Rattus norvegicus: one gene and its partner. Each later gene encodes a partner of the first gene's protein in a complex. Links are inferred from orthologs where the notes say so. Each region holds a gene or a part of one and is shown on either strand. Other genes may lie near its edges.

What was found.
Region 2: the proteins of Wwc1 (region 1) and Lats1 are in contact, whole or in part, in a crystal structure (PDB 6J68), measured with the Mus musculus proteins. The link is inferred for Rattus norvegicus from reciprocal best matches to the Homo sapiens genes WWC1 and LATS1. Residues at the interface, in NP_740749.1 of Mus musculus: Asp17, Tyr23, Ile25, Asp26, His27, Arg30, Thr31, Thr32, Ser33, Trp34, Asp64, Val67, Tyr70, Ile72, Asp73, His74, Lys77, Thr78, Thr79, Gln80, Ile81; in NP_034820.1 of Mus musculus: Ala546, Glu547, Ala548, Pro549, Ser550, Tyr551, Gly553, Pro554, Pro555, Pro556, Pro557, Tyr558, Leu562, Leu563.

The regions. Positions count from the first base shown.
Region 1 is NC_086028.1:20,839,769-20,843,585, reverse strand, and holds part of Wwc1 (protein KIBRA), read left to right. Parts: intron 1-1,220; coding exon 1,221-1,310; intron 1,311-2,631; coding exon 2,632-3,170; intron 3,171-3,817. UniProt on the Homo sapiens protein: Regulator of the Hippo signaling pathway, also known as the Salvador-Warts-Hippo (SWH) pathway.
Region 2 is NC_086019.1:4,001,028-4,004,844, forward strand, and holds part of Lats1 (serine/threonine-protein kinase LATS1), read left to right. Parts: intron 1-977; coding exon of another isoform or gene 978-986; exon of another isoform or gene 987-1,040; intron 1,041-2,112; coding exon 2,113-2,695; intron 2,696-3,817. UniProt on the Homo sapiens protein: Negative regulator of YAP1 in the Hippo signaling pathway that plays a pivotal role in organ size control and tumor suppression by restricting proliferation and promoting apoptosis.

The DNA of each region.
Region 1 (3,817 bases):
TTCCTGAGTCCAGGGAGCGAGGGTCATTCAGTTGCTTCTCCAGCAGGGTGACAGAGAGGAGCAGTGAGTCACCTTGACGTGGAAATTTATCATCCAGACCCCCCGGCAGAGTGAATGATCTCAGCCTCTTCATCTAGGAAAAGAGAACCCTTCCTTCCCGACTCCTTTCTGTCTAGTGAGCCACTTCGATTTCTCTTATTAGTTTGATCCAATTGCTGTAAGCAACAGCCCCAAACCTCTGTGGATAAGCTCTCTTGAAGTTTATTTCTTACCCATACAATATCTTAGGCGGCCTCCCTTGTTGTTGAAGAGGCCACAGCTTGCCCACCTCCCCTTTAAGGCCACAGAGACTGAGGAACACTTTCCTTGACCACTTCAGTCTGATACACACGGTTTCTGCTTATATCCCATTGGCCAGAGCTTGCTCACGTGCCTCAGCCAGATGTTAGGGAGCCCGGGAAAGTGATCTAGCTTTGATCCTGGGAACCCAGGAAGACACAACCAAGGGTAGGTGCCAGAAATACGATCATGAAGCCATTTTCTCATTCTCAATTAGGGATTCCTTTCTCTGCTTTTGATTTTTTTCGTTTTGTTTGTTTGTTCGTTTGTTTGTTTGTTTGTTTTCGGACCTCGTTAGCACCGCGCTCTAATTAGACGCCTGTTGTCTTCCACCCTCCATGTTCTGTAAGAGAAGCAATGAGTTCTGTCCCTCGCCGCTCTGTCCCTGGTGCTGGAAACAGCATCCAGTGTCACCTGGGTAAACATTAGTTGGTGAAAGGAAGGAGGGAGGGAAGGGAGGGGGTAGCAGCTGAAGCAGGAGAAGGAAAGAATGGTAGTTTGGTGGAATCCTAATTCTTCCACTAATTCCATAGTTTTGAGTAAACTATGTAACTAAGAGCCTCAAATTTTCTCATTTTGTAAAGCTGTTAAAATCATTCTCCCCAGGCACATATCAATACATCCTACATCGGTGCCATGTGTTCGGTTCCTAGCTTAGTCTCTAAGGTGTCGCAGGTGGCTGCACACTTACTATAGAATTTGTGTATAAAGAGCTTCTGCCTCTCCACAGCACTGTGGTACGTTTCTACCCAGTTCCTGTGCCTGCACCCTTGGCCTGGTGCCTTTAAGGGCCTGGGCCTTATTCTCTTTTCCGGAGATCGCAGGAGGAGCTGGAGCATTGCATCCCTTTGGAGCTGATTGTCTTACCTCCTCTCCCTCAGGTTGAAGTTAAACAGCAAGAGGAACCAGCTGGTGCGAGAACTGGAGGAAGCCACGCGGCAGGTGGCCGCCCTGCACTCTCAGTTGAAAAGGTGAGTGGTGGGCGGTGACCATCCCCGTGGGGAAGGCCCAGTTCCACACTGCCATTCGTACAAGTTCCATACAAGCCATTCCTCCGTGGCTTGAGGAAAGACATTTAGAAGCATAGAAGGTTGTCATTCTAGCTGATACAGGCTTGGCTAGGGTGGCCGGCCACAGGGTGCTTCATCCCGTGGGACTCTACAAACAGAGACAGCCCCTGGGAGATGCCCGTTGGGTCTGCCTTCTAGCCCACGTTTACAGCATGTAGTAGGTTTTTCCGTAAGCTCAGGCCTTGATGGTTGAAGTATATGACTGGAACTTCATAGTAGCATTAAAAGCACCCCGCCTCTCATCCCCAACAAAAGTGGTTTCTTCCTGTTTATACCAATAAATAACCTTTCGATGGTCATTTATGATGTTAGATCTCCTTTTAAGTTAAATATTTTATCATTTTTTTTAAAAAGTGAATTACATTCTAGTATGGTATTGGTATCCCATATCTTTAATCCCAGCACTTGGGAGGTAGAGGCAGGCTGCTCTCTGAGGCCAGCCTGGTCCACATAGCAAGTTCCAGGACAGCCAGAACTACACAGAGAGAGGCCCTATAACAAAAAAACAAAACAAAAAATTTTGGGAAAAAAAAAGTGACTAGAGCAGAGTGTGAAGGGGTGCACTTGTAATCCCAGCATTTAGCAGGTGGGAGGAGAATCGGGGAGACTGGAAGTTCAAGGCCAGCCTCAGGTCTGTATGTGCCCCCTACCCCCACCTCCAAAAAAAAGGAAAGAAAAAGAAAAAAATGGGAGTCGATTTCAAGAAAGGTACTAAGTGTGGCAGATGTCTTTAATCCCAGGGGCACTCAGGAGGCAGAGGCAGGCCTTATCTCTGTGAGTTCAAGACCATCCTGGTCTACATATCAAGTCTTAGGCCTGCCAGAGCGGCACAGTCAGATCCTATCTCAGTCAACCGATCCAAGGAAACAAGCAAAAGAAATGTTTTAATAAAGATGCAGTGTGGCCAATAAGAAACAAAGATAGAAGAGGAGAAAAGTGGGATCCGGGTGTGGGGTTTCCAGGTGTATGATCTCAGGACTCAGAGCATCAGGAGTTTAAGGCTAGCCTGAGCTACTAAGCAAGAGGCTCACGGGTACCTGCTCTGCTACTCTGGGCCCCCAGCTCTCTCTAGATCTCTATTTTCTCCTCAGTGAAACTGGGTGCATGGTCCAGCTTAGGCTGTCAAGTGGGCTGGGAAGATGATGTTCATGACTCCCAAGCCCGGTGGAGTCCCCAGTGTTCTCCTTACTCCATGTTACCTTTTCCCTTTCCCTGTCCCCAGCCTCTCCAGCAGTATGCAATCACTGTCTTCAGGCAGTAGCCCTGGGTCACTTACGTCCAGCCGGGGCTCCCTGGCTGCCTCTAGCCTGGACTCCTCCACCTCAGCCAGCTTCACTGACCTCTATTACGACCCGTTCGAGCAGCTGGACTCAGAGCTCCCGAGCAAAGTAGAACTGCTGTTCCTGGAGGGTGCCACAGGCTTCCGGCCCTCAGGCTGCATCACCACCATCCACGAGGATGAGGTGGCCAAGACTCAGAAGGCAGAGGGAGGCAGCCGCCTGCAGGCCCTGCGCTCCCTATCCGGCACTCCAAGATCCATGACCTCCCTGTCTCCACGCTCATCTCTCTCCTCCCCGTCCCCTCCCTGTTCCCCTCTCATCGCTGACCCCCTCCTGGCTGGAGATGCCTTTCTGACCCCTCTGGAGTTTGAAGACACAGAGCTGAGCCCCACTCTTTGTGAGCTGAGCCTCGGCACCGATGGCGCCCGGGAAAGATTCCGGCTGGAGGAACCAGGACCCGAGGGCAAACCACTGGGCCAGGGTAAGGAGCACAGTGCCCTTATGGGGAACCAGAAAGCGGGGGATTCCTGCCGTAGTTCCTGACTGTGGATGGCTGGGTCTTTATGGGGTTGGTAGATCCTGACAAAGGTAGAATGTGCTAGGTCCCTGGGCTAGGGTTTTGTTTTGTGGTGGATTTCACTCAACAGATATTTAGCGCCTACTAAAATGAATCCAGATCCTGGCTGGGCTAATTGAGTATGAATGGATTAATTCATCTAAGCTCTCCGTTGATATGGCAAATGTAGCCGCTGGAGGGGTCAGTGTTGACAACAGACAAGGGCCGCCCCCTCCCCCGCTGCCGCAAAGCTTGGGTTCAGCGGGAGGGAGCCACGGGGGCGTTAGAAATGTACCAGGCAAAGGCATGGGAAGGGGATAACAGCGATGTGTGGTGGAGCCTTTCGGTGGAGTTGAGGCAGCCAGGTCAGAATGGATTGAGGCTTAAATGATGAGGGGGAGGGGGGGAGGGGGAAGGGCGGTGAGAGTAAGAGGGTGTAGCAGCAATTCAACTATGACCCCGGCATTTAGGGGGAAGAGGCGTAAAGACCAGGAGTGCAAAGTCATTCTCCACTATATAGCCGGTTTGGTCTGGAAACTTGGAGATCTTTTCTCAAAATACGGGGGAAAAAA
Region 2 (3,817 bases), on another chromosome or scaffold:
TGTGAGTAAACTGGGAGAATTTTGATGATAGCATTTTCAGTGATTATTCAGCATTTCTTATAGAACTTTTAAATTATATATATATATATAAAGTATATGAAATATGGAAATTGAAACGAGGTTTAATTTTTACTTTGTTTTTTTTTTTTTTCCTCCAAGACAGGGCTTTACTTTGTACCCTTGGCTGTCCTGGAACTCACTCTATAGATCAGTCCGGACTTTAACTCACATAGATTTACCTGCCTCTGCCTCCCAAATGCTGGGATTAAAGGCATATGCTACCAATATCCAACAGGTTCTAGATTTTATACATTATTTTACAACATACACAAGTCAGATAGAAATATCTGAGTTACCTCTTGATACATATAGAAAGCATTGTCATTTGGTTGAGAATCTGATGTTTATTCCTTACATACACGTTGTTAGAAAGTGTTAAAATCACTGGGCATGGTGACTCCCACGTTTAATCTCAGCACTCAGGAGGCGGAGGCCAGCAGTCTGCATTGTTAGTTCCCACATCTATACAGCAAAGCACATGCCCCCCCCCCCCACACACACACACAAAGAAAAAAGCTAAAAACAGAAGTAAAAAGAAATGTCAGAACCATTGCTTTACCGTTACTTTCCTCTTCTAATATTTGAGGAAAATGTGCTGAAATGCTGGGTGTGTGGAGGAGACGGGGCTCGCTGTGCTCCCGGGTAGGACTATCACCATCATGGTGTTGTCTTATGCTCAGAACGCCAAGCTTTGACTCCTCCCTTGTTTGACATCTACTGCTCAAAGTGTGAGAAGATTACGCTTCTTCTCAAATCTCACTTTATAGTTCAGTACACTGTTTTCTTACTATAAATAATTATGTTAAATGAGAAATACCCCAAATTCTCTTATTCATATTGTTCTTAGAATTTCTTACTTAAGTCTGTCTATTTTTCTTAGTTTATTTTTCCTTTTTCCTCTTCACTTTCACTAATAGCTGACTTAAACTTTCATGGTGTTGGAAGCTTTGCTGACTTCTGTAGCCTCCATTACTGTGTAGGCAAGTAAGATTTTAAGAGAAAGAGTTCTGTACTAAGTCTGGCATGCTACCACTCTGAAAAAACATTGCATGCAAATGCACATCCTAACAGAAGCATGAGGTTGCTGTATTGAAATTAGTCTTGCATTTCTAAAATTAGACTCTACTTTTCTAAGTCTTGTCCTTTTCAACGTTAGTAAATTCTTCCTGAGCTAAGAACCCCTACAGGCCATCTAAGTCCACTGCTTACAACTGACCTTTGTGTTCATCCATTGTGATAGTGCCCTTATTCACAAGAACTTTAAAAACTACTTCAGAATATCTAAAGGATAAGCACGTTATCCCTTTTGTACTTTGTTAGAGGTGGACTGGGTCTCACCTTTATGCTGATATCCTAAGAAAGAAAAAGAAGATTACCATGACTTTTATTTATTTTTTTAGCTCAGAGAACATGTAGAGTTCAGAGGACAACATGAAGGAGTTGGTTGCTTCTGCCCACCATGTGGTCCTAGATTAACGGAGAGAGTCAGACTTGGCCAGAGGTGCCTTTACCAGCTGAGGCCACCCTTCCTCCCTCCCTCCCTCCTTCCTCCCTCCCTCCTTCCTCCCTCCTTCCTTCCTGTTTTAAAGAATGATTGAACCTAGAGTGAAAGAATTCTTTCTGTGAAAGAAAATCAAGGGGAAAATATTTGAGGCCTAGCCATTCTACAAAAAAAGATTTAGTGAAGGTGTCTGACCCTGTAGTCTGGAGATGTGCATGACGAGAACTGAGAATGTGTGTTCACAGACACTGGTTTTATTGTGCATTCGAAGCTATTCCTTGAGTGCTTTAGAGAGGAGTAGAAGCCTGACTGTTGATGTCCTCTTGTTGCTCCCCACAGCTGGATTTGCATATATACTCACTTTGTGTATTGTTTACTATCTCTTAAGCTTGACTTGATCATTAATTTTTCTCTGAAATACAGTCTAGAATTCTAACATGCTTTATTAAAAATTATGCATTTAACTTTCAAAAATATGCCTGAATTATTTTTTAAGCCGTGTCTTACTATTTAATACAATTCCTTATTTAACCTCTAGTTTATTTACCTAGGTTGGATTATCTCAAGATGCCCAGGATCAAATGAGAAAGATGCTTTGCCAGAAAGAGTCTAACTATATTCGTCTTAAAAGGGCTAAAATGGACAAGTCTATGTTTGTAAAGATAAAGACATTAGGAATAGGAGCATTTGGTGAAGTCTGTCTAGCAAGAAAAGTCGATACGAAAGCTTTGTATGCAACAAAAACTCTACGAAAGAAAGACGTTCTGCTCCGAAATCAGGTGGCTCATGTGAAAGCTGAGCGAGATATCCTAGCAGAAGCTGACAACGAGTGGGTGGTCCGCTTGTACTACTCATTCCAGGACAAGGACAACTTGTACTTTGTGATGGACTACATTCCTGGGGGTGATATGATGAGCCTGTTAATTAGAATGGGCATCTTTCCCGAAAACCTGGCACGATTCTACATAGCAGAACTTACCTGTGCAGTTGAAAGTGTTCATAAAATGGGTTTTATTCATAGAGACATTAAACCTGATAACATTTTGATTGACCGAGATGGACATATTAAATTGACTGACTTTGGCTTGTGCACTGGCTTCAGATGGACACATGACTCCAAGTACTACCAGAGTGGTAAGTGAGCTTGTAAGTTCCATTGAACTCACCATAGTGTAGTCCGTTTATGCAGCACGACTTACAATGGCTTCAACGCTGATGAGACCAGTAGACATATAGACTGGTTCTTACTTTCTTAATAAATCTGGATGAATCTCATGAGCATATACATTTATAAAGTTAAAAAGTACATAAAGTTTATTTCTAAATATTATTTAAAAATTTTAAGGGGCTGGAGAGATGGCTCAGTGGTTAAGAGCGCCGACTGCTCTTCCAGAGGTCCTGAGTTCAAATCCCAGCAACCACATGGTGGCTCACAACCATCTGTAATGGGATCTGGTATGTCTGAAGACAGCTACAGTGTACTCGTATACAGAAAATAAATAAATTTTAAAAAAAATTTAAGTAACTAATACAAAATTTTGTAACTTTTGAAATGTGCCAGTTTTTAAAATAATTTTTGAATAAAGTCTCCCCGGAGACATCCATTATTTAGAACGTTGTACCCCATTCTTTACTTTTCTTATTTTGCTGCTGCTATTTCCGAGCCCCTGCCTGCTAGACAAGCATTCTACTCCCGAGCTGCAGCCTTACCATGTGTATTTCTTATTTTGAAACAATATCTCAGTAGGTTGCCCAGACTACAGTTGAACTTATACCCAGTATAAGCTTCAACTTGGGTTCCTTCAGCCTCAGGTTTCTAATAATTGGGATCATAGGCCTGTGCAACTAGGCCTGGACACCATATTGTATAGCTTTATATATTATATTTCTCACCAATATATTACTTCTTTTTTTCTATTTTTGAAACTATAATCATTATGTATTTTTGTTTCTTTTTTTGTTTACTTGTTTTGTTTTTGAGGTTTCTCTATGAAAGTGTGTGTTTTCAGTGCTATTTAGAGCATATAACCTGTTTAACTGTCATATAACCTTTTAACCCAACACATACATACACATGATTCTATTTAGTCATATGACACTGAAGCAGAATGAAGATGTGAGACTTAGGTGAAGTAACTCATCCAAGGTCAGACAAAGTTAAGTGTAAGGGCTAGGCTTTGAACTTAGGTTTGTCTGATTACAGGGCCCATGTTATCTCTACCACACGGCCTCAAAGAACCTTTCAAGCGCTAATGG